Linked DNA regions of Astyanax mexicanus. The protein of the gene in region 2 interacts with the protein of the main gene of each other region in a pairwise test. Links are inferred from orthologs where the notes say so. Each region holds a gene or a part of one and is shown on either strand. Other genes may lie near its edges.

Evidence for each region.
Region 1: the proteins of kctd9a (region 2) and nup35 interact in binary tests that used the Homo sapiens proteins (3 or more experiments, as listed by UniProt). The two-hybrid records come from large-scale screens. The link is inferred for Astyanax mexicanus from reciprocal best matches to the Homo sapiens genes KCTD9 and NUP35.
Region 3: the proteins of kctd9a (region 2) and lonrf1l interact in binary tests that used the Homo sapiens proteins (3 or more experiments, as listed by UniProt). The two-hybrid records come from large-scale screens. The link is inferred for Astyanax mexicanus from reciprocal best matches to the Homo sapiens genes KCTD9 and LONRF1.

The regions. Positions count from the first base shown.
Region 1 is NC_064418.1:46,394,618-46,400,502, forward strand, and holds the start of nup35 (nucleoporin NUP35), read right to left. Parts: upstream 3,439-5,885; 5' UTR 3,404-3,438; coding exon 3,382-3,403; intron 1,856-3,381; coding exon 1,688-1,855; intron 1,084-1,687; coding exon 956-1,083; intron 871-955; coding exon 816-870; intron 678-815; coding exon 536-677; intron 124-535; coding exon 54-123; intron 1-53. UniProt on the Homo sapiens protein: Functions as a component of the nuclear pore complex (NPC).
Region 2 is NC_064419.1:25,585,473-25,591,357, reverse strand, and holds the start of kctd9a (BTB/POZ domain-containing protein KCTD9a), read right to left. Parts: upstream 3,657-5,885; 5' UTR 3,534-3,656; coding exon 3,486-3,533; intron 1,321-3,485; coding exon 1,199-1,320; intron 1,105-1,198; coding exon 1,061-1,104; intron 943-1,060; coding exon 846-942; intron 179-845; coding exon 120-178; intron 19-119; coding exon 1-18. UniProt on the Homo sapiens protein: Substrate-specific adapter of a BCR (BTB-CUL3-RBX1) E3 ubiquitin-protein ligase complex, which mediates the ubiquitination of target proteins, leading to their degradation by the proteasome.
Region 3 is NC_064419.1:8,755,988-8,761,872, reverse strand, and holds the start of lonrf1l (LON peptidase N-terminal domain and ring finger 1, like), read right to left. Parts: upstream 3,152-5,885; 5' UTR 3,060-3,151; coding exon 2,426-3,059; intron 153-2,425; coding exon 37-152; intron 1-36.

The DNA.
Region 1 (5,885 bases), on a different chromosome or scaffold from region 2:
AAACAGTATGTTGTATGTGTCTAAGGAATATATATTCTTAATTAAATACTTACTACATGTTTAAGTATGTTCCCATACTGAGCAAACTGCAGCAGGATGTAGGAGGCTGAAGCTGGAGGGAACCTGCAGAAACCAAAACACCACAACTATAGTTCTCCACACAATGACATACAAATTCTAGATATCAACACAAACTGAGATGTTATTGTAAAGAAATAGAACTACTTTAATACTGTACTTAAGTACTAAAATGTATCTGTATCTACTGGAGTATTTTTACTACACTACTGTACTTAAGAACTGAAATACTGCATCTACTGGAGTATTATTTTTACTTCATTACTGTACTTAACTACTAAAATACTGTATCTGTATCTACTGAAGTATTATTCTTACTTCACTACTGTACTTAACTACTAAAATACTGTATCTACTGGAGTATTATTTTTACTTCATTACTGTACTTAACTACTAAAATACTGTATCTGTATCTACTGGAGTATTATTTTTACTATATTTTACTATACTCAAGTACCCGAACACTGTGACCCAGGTCTCGTCGAGCTGATCTTCTGAGGACAGCGCGTCTCCCTGAGTGAAGAAAGGATCCACCTGTGCAGGTGAGAGGGTGCTCTTCCTCTGCTGACTCAAACCCGCAGGACTGAACATACTTGCACCTGCAGCAGGAGAGACACACACTGTGTGTTTACATATGATCATGCTTCATTTTATTTAAAATGTTACAATACACCTGCTTGGAATCTATATTTAAAGCAACTCATAAGCTAAAACTGAAGTTACAGATAAACCCTCACCTGTACCAGGGGTTCCCATCACACCTGCTAGTGGAGTGTGCAGCACAGAGTAAGGCTGAAACACAAAATTTTACACATATTAGGATTTTACATTGCAATAAAATGGACGGTTAGGTTTCAGGTGCAGTGCCAGAACTCACCTGTTTGCATGATGCCAGGGGGGACATGGCGATGCCCGGACTGGTCAGGTCATCATAGATGCTTCTGACTGGAGGAGCACCGCTCTTGTCTTTGGGCGTGGGAACCACAGGCTGAGGAGGAGAACCACCTGATGGAACAGGCACTCATCAGTTAGGACACATAACATACTGAACTCCTTACACACAACTGACTGTACAGCAGGGAGGAATAATATAGATAAGGAAATAGCAGAACTTTGCTAAACATGACTTCGGTCTACAATTGACTCATAGAAAAACAACTGGTTTGCTTGGTCCGATTCCAGGTTATGTTCAGAGAGAGAGAGACAGAGAGAGAGAGCTCAGTCAGAAACTTCACTCCTTCATTTCTTTGGTTTTACTATGAGTGAATTAGCTACTGAGATCTGAGTTTCCTCTTCTGAAGTCCCCATTGCTCCACCAACCACTCGACTTTAGTAAAACTGATCCGGATCCTCTTTCAGAGGCTGTTTGTGTAACGTAAGTACATAAAGACGTGTGACCTGGCCAGAAGAACTACTCTCGCAAAAAGCGACCCGACACCCCAGTTTTTAGAATAAATATATTAGGCTTGGCAGGGATGGTCTTTCCAGCACACTGGTACCATTAAACACAGTATTTTGTCCATATTCTTCTCCACTAAGAAATGCTTGCTTTCAGTTTAGAGACAAAGTAATACAGACACTTTAAAGCTTTTTATCTTCTTGTGTTTACCTGCTAGGAGAGGAGACCTCATCTCTGCACCTCCTCCACTCAGGCTGATCGTTCTGGGCAGGGGGGTGGTGGGAGCTGGCAGGTCCCCCATCAGAAACCCGGGCAAGAACTGAGCCCCAGGGCCGGGCTTCGGGGAGGTGGGGGAGCCCAGAGCCATCGGTTCAAATCCTAATTAAAGATTTAAAAAAGGGAGGTTGGTGCGGTTTCTTTACTGTTTTATCTCTGAATACAACATTCATGAATCTCCATCAGTATAATGAGCTTCTTATCAGACTACTGTTCACTTCTAACCTAAATTTACCAATGTACTGGAAAATCCCTCTTTGCAAAATGTTCCTCTGGGCAGAGACTGGACCATTACAACATCCACAGACATTTACTAAACTTCACTGACTTTTACTTTCCTAATAACAGATGGGAATGTAATTTAATCTTGACCTAAAGAAATTAAAGTACTTAACGCCCATTTCAGTATCTCAATGGTGAACAAAATTATCACCCTTGTAATTCCGATATCTCCGTGCAATTCACAGAGAAAGCTTTGAAAACTGTGTGTGATTTTATAATGATTATTATTAAATAATTATACTCAAGTTATACTATTAATTTTAATATTTGTTTTACTGTTATATTGTTATAAAATAGGCTTTGCTGTTTTCTATTAACACATTAGAATAATATAGTTTATACACTACCAGTCAGAAGTTTGGACTCCTCATTTAGTGTTTTCTTTTTTTAATTTATTTATTCAATTTGTAAAGACATGAAAACTATAGAATTTTGTAGTAAACTGTTAAAAAAAGATTTGGTTATTTGAGCATGAAGGAAAAGCATCAACTATTGTTCAGCACCTCCAGGAACTCCTTCCTTCAAGATGCTGAGAAAACTATTCCTAAACTCTCTAACATTAAGACACTAAGATTAAAATACGTGTGTGCAAATCGGTCCTCAAAGAAAAATCTAAAACATAAAACATATTCTGATGTACTTAACACTTTCGGTTTAATAAATAAGTATGCATGTGTTCCCGCATGGGTATAATATAGTATTCAATAATAAATGTACAAGGTAAAAAAAAAATAAGAAGAAGAAAGAAAAAAACACTGAATGAGAAGAGGTGTGTCCAAACTTTTGACTGTTTATATACTAATATAAAAAGTTAACCTACAGTAGTGAGCAGTGTGTGAGTGTGTGAGTAGAAAGTTACTATAACTAACAGTAGTAATATATATTATTTTTTTAAGTTAGCTTGTTAGCTAAGCTAGGTTACATGCTAACGGTACAATGTAAAACTATTATTTAAATTATAGGGATTATTTTGTGCTTTAAGGTTGTATTAAATGATCTAATATGTGTGTAGTGACGCTATATTATGTTATTTTAATGATTAAAACTATTAAACGCGGTCACGAGGCTAAAGTTAGCTTAGCTTGTTGGAATTATCCGTTCCACCTTAAACGGTGCTGAAGTTAGACGGGTTATAATCTGCCGCCTGACTCAATATTTAAGGTGGAACGGACAATTCGAAACACAAGCCGGCAAGAGCCGAACACCGCTGATATTTACTGTTTTAATAAATAAACAGTACATCTGCAAACATCATAAACAGCAGAATAACCGCCCCGCACAGCCCGCAGATCCCGCACAGCCTGAATTAACACTTATAACCCTTAAATACTGAAACACCGACTCACCCAGCACTCCCTGCGCGTCCATGCCGCGGATTCAAACTCAGCCGGAAATGACGCGCGAGCCCCAGGATTGAAGTCCTCACGCGCGCGCGAAATAAGCCAACAATTAATAAATAAATTTAAATATTAATAAAATTAATGATTTAATAATTGATAAATACATGTATGCATGAAGGAATAAATACATTGATAAATAAACTATTAAATAAATAAATAAACAAAGTGAATAAATAAATACATAAACGATTTAAATAAATTGTTAAATTAATAATTTAATTAATAGATAAATAAATAAACGGAATAAATAAATACATAAACGGTTTCACTCATTGATAAATAAATAAATAAATAAATAAATAAATAGCTAGATAGACAGATAGTTTAGTGGACTATGGCTAATTTGCTAACTAAAATGCAGACTAAAAATAAACTCAATAAGATTAAACCACTATGTAATATGTATAGCTTGTAGAAAAAAAATGGTCTGGTGAAGGGCATAAAACATACCGAATTCAATTTAGGTCTGTAGAGTATGTTATTTTCAAATATTTCGCTTTCTGCTGGGATTTTTTTTTTTTTTTCAGATCTAACCAGCACCACTTAAATGCAGCATAAAATACAATACAAAACAGCCATCAGGATTATACAAATATATCGGTCTTAAAGCCAAAGTAGGCAGTTTGTAGACATATACTGTGCACTTCTGATGGAAAACGACTCATCTAATATGGGGATATTCTGGAGTAAACTGAACCATCTGAAAGACAATAGTTTAATGAATACACCTCCACTGAGAATTCACAGGTAATGAACCACGCAACTCCACCCCTCCTCCACTAGAGAGCAGTGTGCTCTCAGAAACAGACATTCACCGTGTTCAGTCGTCTCTATTTCTGGGATTTTAAATGGGTTGTTCTCTGATTGGTCATAATTAGTGGCTTTTTTACAATAATAAAATAACAAAAATAATGATTAGGAGAATAAAACAGCCACTAATTAGGACCATTCAGAGAACAGTGCATTCTCCACCAATAAAAGAAAAGCACATCTAAAAGTCCACCAACATGAGAATATCAGTTGTACAAATCCACCAATCACAGATTATTACATTAGAAAAGCACAGCCAAAAAAAATCCAGTGTTTATTATCATAGTTAGCCTATGGTTGAATGGGTTTTTTAAGTTTATTTGGGTTAGAGGTCGGTATGGACGTGGTGTTTCTGGGACTGTTACTGGGGCTTGCCAGAATGGGGTCCATCATTACAGTCACCTTAATCTCACACGGGTCCCATCTAAGCCCCATGTGCAGTTTACAACCCAGAAAGAGGCCTCTTCTGGTTCCACCACTGACTTTAATAGATAAACTGTCCAATAAATGTGTAAAAGCTGGTGCCTGGCCGAGGAGACTAGTTTCTTCTTAGGTTTACCTGCATTAAGATTGACTGTTCTGCACTTGGGTTCAACAACCCTCTGGGCTGGAGAGCTACTAGTGTGTAGCACTCCATCCTTATTACAAAATGCTCAATTAACAATGACTATAAAGACCAGAGCAGGCCAGAGAAGTTGCAGAGTTGCAATTTGATATTCTTGGACATTTTCAGGAAACCTCTGCTGTGCATTGTGGGTGAGCATTATCCTGCTGAAAAAGGCCAGTTAAAAGTCCTGTCATTAGAAGCAAGGATGTCCTGCACATATATTGCTGAGCTGTTAGTGCCCCTACTATCACTACTAGGAGCGACTGATTGTGGTATGCGATGGCTCCCCAGATCATCACACCAGAGGTTGGAGCAGTGTGATATTTGGATGAAAGCTGTGAAACTATAATAACTGTGTGCATTTACAGCTGCTCAAATATTGATAAATATATCTGAATCAGTGGGATATGAAATGGGGGTGTTTATCAGGCAGTTGATGGATTCACGTCTCCATTAGCGAGTGAGAAAATATGATATTAGTCGTCTGCAGCTGAATAAACACACAGAACTACAGTCTGCTGCTGGAGCCATTAGGTAAATAAATTGTTGTGTGTGCGTATGATAAATACACACACTCGTTATTTCCATTGGCTCAGAGTAGTGAGTGCTGCAGTGGTGAATGTTAGTGGATGTGAGAGCTGTGTGAGAGAGTGTGAGGCTGCTGTGGATGTGTGTATGTATGCAGGGTGAGATGGTGTTCTCTGTTTTCCAGAATGAATCACTGTTCTCTTTTGCTGTCTCTGTAGCTTTGTGGTGCTGGAGTGTATTTGATTTGCTCCAGCCTGAAGCTGCTCTCCTCACTTCTCTCCTCCACCCCATCCTCCCATCCTCCCATCCCAGAATACGCCTCAGAGGCCCAACCCTTTAAAAAGCAAGTATCCTACTTTTACTGTGGTTCATTTTCCCCTCCAGAGCTTCAATGAACCTTTGTGTGGGTTTCTGAAGCAAAAAGAGTCAAAACACAAAACTTAATCCTCAGAATAAAACATAATGTGCACACACAAGTACATATACATATACATACAGTATACAG
Region 2 (5,885 bases):
GCTTGTTGCCCCACACATCTGGAATACAGCAGAGAGAGAAATTTTAATATTTCATGAATAATTTAATACTGTCTGCAATGGACGAATATATCTGAATCGTTGTGTTATAAAATGCTCACCCTTTTCTCTAAACATATGAGCCAGCATGCTGTCCGGCTCCTTACTCACAAGAGTGCTCCTAAAGGGAGAAAAATAATAATGGATTTTATTAGCAATGCAGTTTTCATACATGTATATTATACATTTATATGTTTTGTTTTTTTTAACTGGAGAAACCAAAAACCTCATTGGATATCTTGAACATAAATGGTTGATTCAACCATTTATTTGATGAAAAACTGTGTATTTCACTTGGTCCAGATTTCAATCTACTATTGCAGATTTTATTTAGGTTACATACTGACGGTTCATAATAAATAAACTATTAATAAATAATAATAAAAATACAGTGATATACAGTGAAACCGCCAGAATCTTGCAAAATACCATGATATGCATTTTTGGTCATACCACCAAGCACTAATGGAGTCTCATCATTCTAGAGAGCACAGTTCTTCTACTGCTCCACAGCTCAATGCTAGTAGACTTTATACTAATCTAGGCCATGACTGACATTATGCAATGGTCAGGTATCAATAGGTTCTACTCCAGAGTTCTATTCTATTGGTAATGCTTCTCTACAGGACTCAAAGTTAAAGGAGTGTCCACAAACATTTGTAAATTAGTACTTATGGCTAGTCCAGCTAAAACAAAAATAATTGAAGCTTGTAACCGTTTTTTAACTATTCAAACACGGTTATAAACCCTTAAAACATCACCCAGCATCTTAAAAGAACTCTACTTGCCGTGTGGTCGTGAAGAGACGCCCACCAATATTTAAAGTCAACCAATCAGTGTGGCAGCTTGAAGAGTCCTCTGCAGCCTTTTCCTCAGTCTGAGGATCTGAAACACACCCAAACACAAACAAGTGTATACGTGCTCTGAGGACACTTTCATTGTTTCCCATGTGAGGTTTCAGGTATATGAGGAAATGACAAACTTAATCATGACACCAACTTACCGACAAAGGAGTCTCCCTCAGACACATATAACACATCATCATCTCTGCAAAACAGAGAGTCACACATGATTAATCTTTGTTGATTAAGGACAAACAATAAGTACCAGTACCAGGAACCTCCATCGGAACATAACTTACCTAATGAGGGCTATATCATCAATGAGGCCTCCCTTGCCATTGTACAGATTACTAGCCCTGATTCCCAGTTTATTGCTGGCAACGGATAAGAGATCCGACAGAGTGCCATATACTGCTACAACCTACAAGACAAAAAAAAGCAGAGGTCAGGATTACTGAAACAAACTAATGTTGGTTCAAACTGATGTGAACTGAAATTATCCAGCTCACTAAAGGTGTTTTTACACTTTAATGTCTGCACCAAGACTTGGGTCTTTGTTACATTGTGTACATTTGGTCCAGCTAGATTTGGTTTCACACTGCAGTTTAGTGAGCAAAGAATCATAGGAACATGCCAGAACTAAACCCACGTGTAAAGTAGCAATGCCAGAGAATCTCTAGAGAGGAGAATACCCACTTGAAGTGAGTCCAAGATGAACAGGTTCATATGAAGCAACTGAGCAAAATCAGAATTTATAAATATCTGAAAATCTCAACACAGTACGCTAGATTCTTTACTGCTTAAACCTGTTTGCTGTCGAACAATGGAAATATACAGGTACACTTTTTTTTGCTTATAACATTAAATAAAACTCAGAACAAGTAGTTATTACATATAATTTTAGTTTTTGACTTTTTTCCACCCCCATTGAGTTTCCTCTAGCGTTGAACAGTAACTTTCTGATATATTGGGGAAATATTGGGAAAGTGGTCAGACTCTGCATAAACAGCTCTGGCCATGCAGAAGGTTTGTTTTGGAGCCGTGGTTTTCTGTTTCTACATGATCCCTTTGGCTGTAGCAGTTTACACTACAAGACTACACAAACACCAAGTGGTCACCAACTTACCTCTGAGAAAGTTTTTTTTTTTTTTTTTGGTGGTGGTTTACAAAAAATAATCAGTTAACTTTAAAATATATTTTCACAATACAAGCCTTCATTAAATAAAATGAGGGGGAAGAATTTATATATACAATATAATAAGAATATAATTGATACGGTCACTATAAAGTAATGACATGTTTCATACTCATATTCATAATTTAAATAAATATCTTAAAGAAACGACAATGAAATATGTACAGGTGCTTCCATATCCAATGAAATATATTAACGGTTTTAATTAACATTTTCTCCTATTCAGGACAATATTATGCAGTCAGACCTTCTTTCAATCAGTGTTGTAAAGTTATAATATGACATTTCAGGGACATAATATCAATATATATGTGGGAAATTATAGATAGTAGTACTCATATTGCTATAAAAAACTAATGATAAATAAACTTTACACGTTACTGGTTGGTTAGTAGTTAGTTAGCTAGCTAGCTGGGTAATAAGTATACAGATCTGGAAAAAAAATAAAAGCACTTAAATAAATTTTGTTTCTTTGAAAACCTCTGGAACATAATCAAGAGAAAGATGAATGATGAATGCCATAAAAAAAAAAGCTGAACTGAATTTTTGCACAAGGAGTGACGTAAAGTTATCCAAAAGCAGTGTGCAAGACTGGTGGAGGAGAACATGCCAAGATGCATGAAAACTGTGATTAAAAACCAGGGTTATCCCACCAAATATTGATTTCTTGAACACTTAAAACTTTACGAATATAAAGCTGTTTTCTTTGCAGTATTTGAGGTCTGAAAGCTCTGCATCTTTTTTGTTGTCATTTCAGCCATTTCTCTTTTTCTGCGAATAAATCCTCTAAATGACAATATTTTTTATTTGGAATTTGGGAAAAATTTTGACTAAAATGTTGTCCGTAGTTTATAGAATAAAACAATAATGCTCATTTTACTCAAACATATACCTATAAATAGCAAAATCAGGTAAACTGATTCAGAAAATAAAGTGCTCTCTTAATTTTTTTTTTTCAGAGCTGTAGCTACCCAACTAGTTAGCTAAGCTATCTTAGATGGGCCTGACCATTAGATGCTATGTAACGTTATAGTCTTAAGCTTAGCTATGTTAAATTAATACACAATATAGCTATAATTACAAAATAAACACAAGTTTCACACCAACACGGGTCATGATTATCATTATTTACACAAATACCAGCTAAACACAACACTGTTAACATGATTTCCTCTATCTAAGACTAGCCATACATGCTAGCTAGCGCTAGCTAAGTTAGTTGAGCCAGCGGACTCAGAAAGTAAAAATCCGCTCCGGGATTTGAGCCGCAGCCGATCCGCCAAGACATTGAGAACAAAATCCCGGAGAGGATTTTTACTTTCTGAACTTGGATTTTGCACCTTTACACAAAAGTCATTCAACATCACTGTAACGAACTCTTCAATCCTCACCTTTCCATTTTTGGAGGAGCCGTTGACAAAAAGCGTGACTCTTCGCATTATTTGTTTAAGCTATAATTATGTACAATATTGAGTTTAATAAACAAAACTAGACCGATTTCTACAGCGAACTCATCCCACAGTTACTCAGTAACAGGCTAAACCAGATTCACACAGTGAAGCCAGAGCCCAGCTCACCCAGTCGCCGTCCAATCAGAGTGACGCTATTGTTACTAGCCTTGCGAACAGACCAATCACAGGACAGAGCTACACGTGTCGGCTCGCGAGACCAGCCAATCAGACACAATTGTGGTGTAGCTTCACTCATGAGGAATTTGCAAAGGGAAATAATTACCTCAGCGTGGCGTTTCTGGAGCTGTGGGAAGGTTTGCTAAAATAGCTTAAATTCACTGTAGGAAGCAGAACAGTAATAACAGTACAGCAGGGACACCATAGCTAGTCTGTCTAAACATACATATACTAGTAGAGAATATAGCTAGTATAGACTTAAAAATAGTAGTTATAGTCACTCACATCCACACTAAACCCTCCCCTCTCCCTCCGCTCTTCTGTGTGCTGCTGCAGCAGTTAACTACATACTCCACCTTTAGGTAAACCTGCAGGGAAGAATATTAGTTGTCAAATTGTATAAAACTTTGAAACTGACGCATGTATAGTTAGGTTTTTTTGTTTGTTATAGTTTTTATAGCCTTATATATTTTCTATTCTTCTGTGTTTTGATTTGGCTGAGTATGTTTCTTATTGTATTGTGTTGTTGCTGCTGGATGCCTAAATTTCCTTCGGGATAAATAAAGTATCTATCTATGTAAATACATAATTCCTGGTATTTGCATATTCAGGAGTATTTTATTCTAATGAGTAACACAGCTTGAAGTTTCAGAGAGAATTAGCACAGAACCACAGTATCTTAAAACCATTGTTATTTTGGTAATATCGTATCATGATGCACCCTGTGATTCCCACCCCTACCTTCAACCCTGATCTGCATTGTAAAGCGAAAGCAATGCTTGGAGCCTTTACCAAGCAGGGTTGAATGAAACTGTACAACCCCCCCCCCCCCCCTTTACACAAAACTAAACTGTACACCCCCCCCCCCCCCTCCCTTTACACTCACAAAGAACTGAACTTCACCCACACACACACCCAGTCAGCACACAGAGGCTGACATGACTTTATTTGCTGCACTCTTAAAAACTATAAACTCTACCTCAGTAACTGCTGTGATTATATATGTTCTATATGTTACAGTATGTCACACATCTCTGCACCTTATCCCCACTATACACTTTATTATACCGTATCGGTACTGCACTGTCCTGTCTTTAAATTGTCTCGTCTTTTGTATTTATTGTTATTTAGTGTTATAATTTTATAATTTTATGTTGCACTGTCGTCACTCCTGCATTTTATGTTGTCTATTGCTTGTTGTTCTATGTTGCACCATGGTTCCGGAGGAACGTAATTTCATCACACTGTGTACCTGTACTCAGATGTAATGACAATAAAAGCCTCTTGACTTGACTTGACATGAAACATAAAAGTTATATTTTGTTGGCATCTTAATTTAAAACAAACAGTTTCCCTATTGTTAAAAAAAACACTGACAGTTCTGTGTAGCCAGTGGCAGTCAGGCAAACTAGGTTTGGCACTTTTTTCTTGTGTTTATTATATGTACAAGAAAACATACAAGTTTTTATGTTTTTATGATTTTATTTAGCACTGCACTGAAAAGAGCCTCTTCTCCACTAGATGGCAGAAAAGGAAAACACTTTACTGCAGCCTCACAATTTAGATATTTTAGTAACATGGTGTTAAAGAAATGAGGACAACGGATCATCTTTGCTTATTTAACTAGTGTAATCTGGGCACATCCAGTAAGGCATTGGCTGCTATTTTAAACAGGCCATAAATCTTACTGAAGTTTACAGGTAGGTCCCAGTTTCCTGAGAGCTGTAAGTCTTATCTGTCAAAATTAGCCTACATGACATTGCAGCCATTTTAACAAACAAAGAAGACAAGTTCTAACTCATAAAGTTTTAAAGTGTTCAGAAATCAATATTTGGTGGAACAACCCTGTTTTTAATCACTATTTGGTGGAATAACCCTGTTTTTTAATCACAGTTTCCATGCATCTTGGCATGTTCTCCTCCACCAGTCTTACACACTGCTTTTGGATAAATTTATGCCACTCCTGGCAACTTCAAACAGTTTAGCTTGGTTTGATGGCTTGTGATCATCCATCTTCTTCTTAATTATATTCCAGAGCTTTTCAATTTGGTAAAATCAAAGAAACTCATCATTTTTAACCCTCCTGCTTTCCTCATATTTACTAACACTCTTAATTCTCTGGGTCAATACCCAGCCATTTAAAATTATGATTAAATTTGAATA
Region 3 (5,885 bases), about 17 Mb from region 2:
AATCAATCAGTCAATCAAACAACCAATCATGCTCACCTCTAGTGAGGGTGAAGCGCTTAAACACACCTCCCAGTCATCCAGCGCCAGCTGATAGAGCTGCAGACTCTGATACACCTCTGCTCGACATACTCGCAGTCTAACATTGCCAGGGTCTGGAAAAGAGACAGAAGAGAGAGAATTTATAATAATATTAACAATAATGACAACTTAATATACTAATAATATTACTTAATGTAATGTAAATACATGGACAAACAGATAGATACATAGACTGTTCCTTGTATTACCACACACTACCTCACTCTCTTACTGTACCTCACTCTGCCTCCAGCCTCATGATGCTACAAGAGCCCACTCTGCAGTGTAAAGAGCTACCTCTGTTGTTGCACGCAGGCAATGCAGTTTACCTTGCTGTTATTTAACATTTTTTGATGTGTTTGGTCTGTGTGTGTGTGCTGCAGTCTAAGGGTGTCCTTGTCAGCCCTCATGTTCAGAAACAGAGTTGAGGAATTTAAGCGTCAGCCTTCAGATTAAAAAAAAAAACATACATTTATTCAAAAGCGCCCAAAACAGAGGGCAGACTAGGACACCTTGATAATGCAGCTTGCTCACCCACCCACACACACTCACAGAAGCTGGCAGTGGCAGTGACACACCACTCACTCCATGAGTCATGATTCTGATCATTTACAGCAACATTATACCATTGCTGAAAACATGCAGAGAGGAATACATATAATTAATTGCATAATAAAATAATTATGTGATTACATGACTCTAATGCAAGGAAACCTTGGCCAGTAGGTTTGACCTGAAGTGCCCCGTGGCCTGTTTCTCGGTGTACACGCAGTGTGGTGACCCTGAAGATGACCGATAACTGACCTATAAAGTGTTACAATGTGCTTTCTCTCTACATGTGGTCAGTGAGTGGAAGCTAGGGTGCGCCAAATATTTGGCAACCAAAGGTTTTGATCCAAAAATGTCCAAAAAAAGCACTTTTTGAGTTCAAAATATGTGAAAAAAAAACAATTAATACTAAACTCTGACTAATTTACGGTACTAGTCAAAAGTTTGGACACACCTTCTATGCTTCTTCAATGCTTTTCCTATATCTTTCATTTATTTTTTTATACTGTATATTATAATTAAAGACATAAATATAATTAAGGAAACATATGGAATTACGCAGTAAATGGTAAAAAAAAAAAGTGTTTGTCCACAATCCCCTAACCTAAACCTGATCAACTGGGATGGATGAGCTGGAGCTTCACAGCGTGAAGGAAAAGCAGCAGCTATTGTTCAGCACCTCCAGGAACTCCTTCAAGACACTGAGAAAACTATTTCAGGTGACTCTCCCTCATGAAGACACTGAGATTAAAATACCAAATGTGTGCAGATCTGTCCTCAAAACTAAATATGCTGTTTAAAAAAAAAAAAGTATAAATCATCTTCTGGTTTGTTTAACACTTTTAGTTCACAGTATAGTTCTGCATATATTCCTGTATGGCTTTACTTAATTCAATATTAAATGTACAGTGTAAAAATAAATCATAAAAAGAAAGAAAACTAATTGAATGTGAAAAGGTGTATCCAAACGTTTGACTGGTACTGTATATTGTGTCATATTGTTGTATTGTGCTGCATCTGCTGGGATGTTAAAAATGTTGACAGTTCCATAAATACTTTACACTGTAGCTAGAAATTGTTCTAGGTGATTCTTTTAAAAAATCCAGACAAATGTATGTAAAGGTGAAAGAATTGGCAACATTAATGAAACATTTCAGTCATTTTGTTCAGTTTCAGCCTGAGAAAATTAATTTCAGTTTATCCTTAGTGGAAGCACAAGGTGTTTCTAATAAAGTGGTTAGTGAGTTTAAGCACAAGGTTGTGAGCAGGTGTTTCTAATAAAGTTGTCAAAATGCTAGTGAGTGTATATATTCTATTTATGTAATGGCATTTGGATATACATTATAATTATATAAAGCATACCTACATACAAGTAAGCATGTAAACTATTATGAGTAAAATATTAGTATCAGCATTATTCATACGTCGTATTATTGTTATTACTACCATTAATAAAGGCCTCACTTTCTCTTCACCTCATGTCACATTACAAAACTCAACACTTAACCTTACACAACCTTCATCTCTCCACGCATGCGCGCGTAAAAACGCGTTTCGTAAGGCTGGTGGGCGGAGTCACGTGAATCCAGGAACGACGTGGGCGGGGCCGGTTCTCTGAAATGTTGGTCAGTAGAACTCGGGCGATGTGAATAAATTATGTAATCGTTTAGCCTGGAAAAGCCCAAACTGTGTGGGGGTTCTCCACTTTTGTCAGTAATAAAGGACAACAGTGCTGTTTTATATCATAATTTGTTTAGGGCGAAGGATAAAGACGAAATAAGTTAAAAACACAGCTCACCGCTTTTTAAAAGCTCACTGGCCAGCGCTGCAGCCTCCTCCCAGTGTTTACTCCTCATCAGCCCCTCAGCCTCTCCAACCCGCCGGGCTTTCCTCACCTCCTCCGGGAAACACTTCTCCAGCAGTCCGCTCAGAACCACGTTGGGTTTGTGTTCTGAAGGGCTCCGGTCCATGTTCTCGCTACACACCTGGCACCGGGGCACCAGTATCCGCTGTAAACAGCCTCTGCAGTAGGAATGTCCACATGCCGCGGTCACAGGTTCCCACATGAACCTGCCACACCCGGGACAGTCAAACATACAGCCCGAGTCCCCCACCTGTCCCCGGTTCCCCTGGGTCAGCAGAGTCGCTACAGTCTCCCCGGCGTTCCCCTGCTTGTAGTTCCGCAGGATACAGTCCACCAGCGCGCCCAGCTGCTCCGGCCGGATGGGGTCGTGCCTCAGTGCCGCGCAGAACATGTCTATCGCCTCTTTCAGGCGGTTCTGGGACGCCAGTGAGTCCGCTTTCCGCAGTATCACGCTTTGCGGGTCCACGCTGGAGTCCTCGCCCCACTCCGCCTCTCCCTGCGCCGCTATGTAGAAGCCTGCTGCCCGGGCCTCCGTCGCCTGCGCCCCGCTGCGTTTCTCCACCGACATGCTGGAGCGGTCAGCCCGCGTATTAGTGTTATAACTCTAGTATTATCACCGTAATAACTTCAGCACAGAGATATAATAACTGTTAATAGTATCACAGCCATCCTTGCCCAGCGCGAGAACAAGCGCTGAAAGCGAGTTACATAAAAAACACGGTCACGTGAGGGCAGATTCCTGCGCTCCTATTGGTCAGAACTCGACGATTACAAAACGTGCGCTCGGTGAGTTTTGTAACTCTGGAAATGAGGCGTCACACAATAGACAGACGGCACGGTGTACCGGGACACTGAAGTACAACCAGACCCTGACAAATCCCACAACATCACAGAGTTATACAGATAACAGAGTTACCGACCTGTCACAAAGTGTAACTTTTCACTTAACTCAGCCAAAAGGTTAAATAAAGCACAATAATCTAATAGGCGAGCTATTACAAATCATCAACTTGAAAACATGTCACATATTCAATAATGTTGTAATGCGTCGTTGTATAATTAGCACACATTACATTTGACATTTTATTAGTGTTATACTACAGTTACATTATGTAGTAAGTAACATAATAGAGGAAAATGATGACTGATGCACCTAACATCTGAGGTTACTCATAGGGCCCATTCCCTTCCCCTATACTCTAATCTCATCTCTTAAGTAGCTTTTTGATCCAATCAGCAACACTTAACCACACATGAAGATCTGACACCTAACACCTGAATTGCTGTGGCTGTGGCTGTTTCAGCAATATTTGAGACAACCACAAAATACCTTGGTTAGCCTTCCCATCACAAATACTCATTCATTAATTATATTACATTATATTACATTGGGCAGACGCTTTCGTCCAAAGCGATGTACAATAATGATGTACATTAAGTAGTAAAAGACATAGAAGATCAAGTTAAAAAAAAAACATTTAAGACTGGGCCTAAAAGAGGCCAAAGGGAAATAATGGGATATAAGAGAGTAAGTGCTCTTTGAAGAGCTCTGTCTTCAGGAGTTTCTGAAAGATAGAGAGTGATGTTCCTGATCTGGTAGTGGAAGGTAGTTTGTTTACATTAATAGTGTTTATTACATTTACGTATGCAAGTGCACAGTTTTGTTGCATTTCTTGATGTTCTTACAATAATTGTGTTATAATTAAAATGAGTTTCTTTGATTTTACCAAATTGTAAACCTCTGGAATATTATCAAGAGAAAGAATAACCACAAGCCATCAAACCAAGCTAAACTGCTTGAATTTTTGCACCAGGAGTGGCATAAAGTCATCCAAAAGCAGTGTGTAAGACTGGTGAAGGAGAACATGCCAAGATGCATGAAAACTGTGATTAAAAACCAGGGTTATTTCACCAAATATTGAGTTCTGAACTCTTAAAACTTTATGAATATGAACTTGTTCACTTTGCATTATTTGAGGTCTGAAAGCTCTGCATCTTTTTTGTTATTTCAGCCATTTCTTATTTTCTGCAAATAATGCTCCAAATGACAACATTTTATTTGGAGAGAAATGTGAGAAATGTTGTCAGTAGTTTATAGAATAAAACAACAATGTTTATTTACTCAAACACACCTATAAATAGCAAAATCAGAGAAACTGATGCAGAAACTGAAGTGGTCTGTAAATTGCTTCCAGAGCTGTATATAAAAATTTTTATAAGTGTCAACAAACTGTCAGAGGAATACATATAATTCAACATGAAATTTAGATAATAAAAGTAAACAATTTTATTCAGAAATTTAAATGAATACAGTTAAACTAAAAAAAAAAACATAAATTAACATAATGTTCATTGAAACCTTTTTTCTTAACTTTAAGTTTATAAAATTAAACCTTCTTATTTTTTTTTATTTTAAGTTAAAAGAAAATGAATATTTTTTCTTCTTTTATTCCTGTCAAAACATTAGCACAACAAGCGTTAGCTTAGCAGCACCAGGCTAAGCGTCCCATAGCAACACAGACACGTGAGTGTTAGTCGGCGAAAACGCAAAAAAAAAAAAAAAACAGCTATGTGAGGAACATGTCGGCGATTTTGGCTGATATTTATTTTATTTCATCAGCGGGAACTTTAATCCGTAATAAACGGTGATTTTTAAGGCAGTGAAACAAACGAAAAAAGGTCCGGGTTTGTTTTAGGGCAGTGTGTCTGCGCATGCGCATTCAACTCCCAGCTCCTGAGTTATGAGAGCACTGGAATGAGAGTCATGTAACATTTAGGTCAAATTGCAAAACACAGATCAGTCCAGATTATTTGTTTGTAATAAATATAGACTCTGCGGCTTCTTCTCTCTGGATTTCTTACTCTTTGCTTTTATTCAGGGTTTATAATGTTAGTGTATAATGTGAGGGTGCAGAAAGTCCCAGATTGACCCCTAATGACCTCCCTCACCAACAGTCCCAGTTATGTCATTTTATTGTAACCGGCTCTTACAAAACAGTCATATAACATACTTGCCTTTATTTCTTTTTACATAACATAACTGACTCATGCACTCTCCCTTTTAACATGTATTTATTATTTACTGTTTTTACTGCTGTTTTTTTACACTGTTTGAAACTGAAGGGGAATTAAATACTACTCTAAAGTTAAGTAACATGTTTGGACAGAGCAGCATTGCTTAGAAACGTCGAGGTGCCTTGTAAAGGAACCACCAAGCTTTCAAGCCTTTACAAGCTTTAACAATGTTAACAGTGTGGGTCTGTCTATTACACAAACAGCATAAGTGGAATGACAGTTTATTTTAGTTCATTCAACTTTTTGTTTAATAAGTCTCTATTCCAGAAAGAGAGAGAGAGATGTGTAAGTGAATAACAAACATTTCAGAAACTGTTAC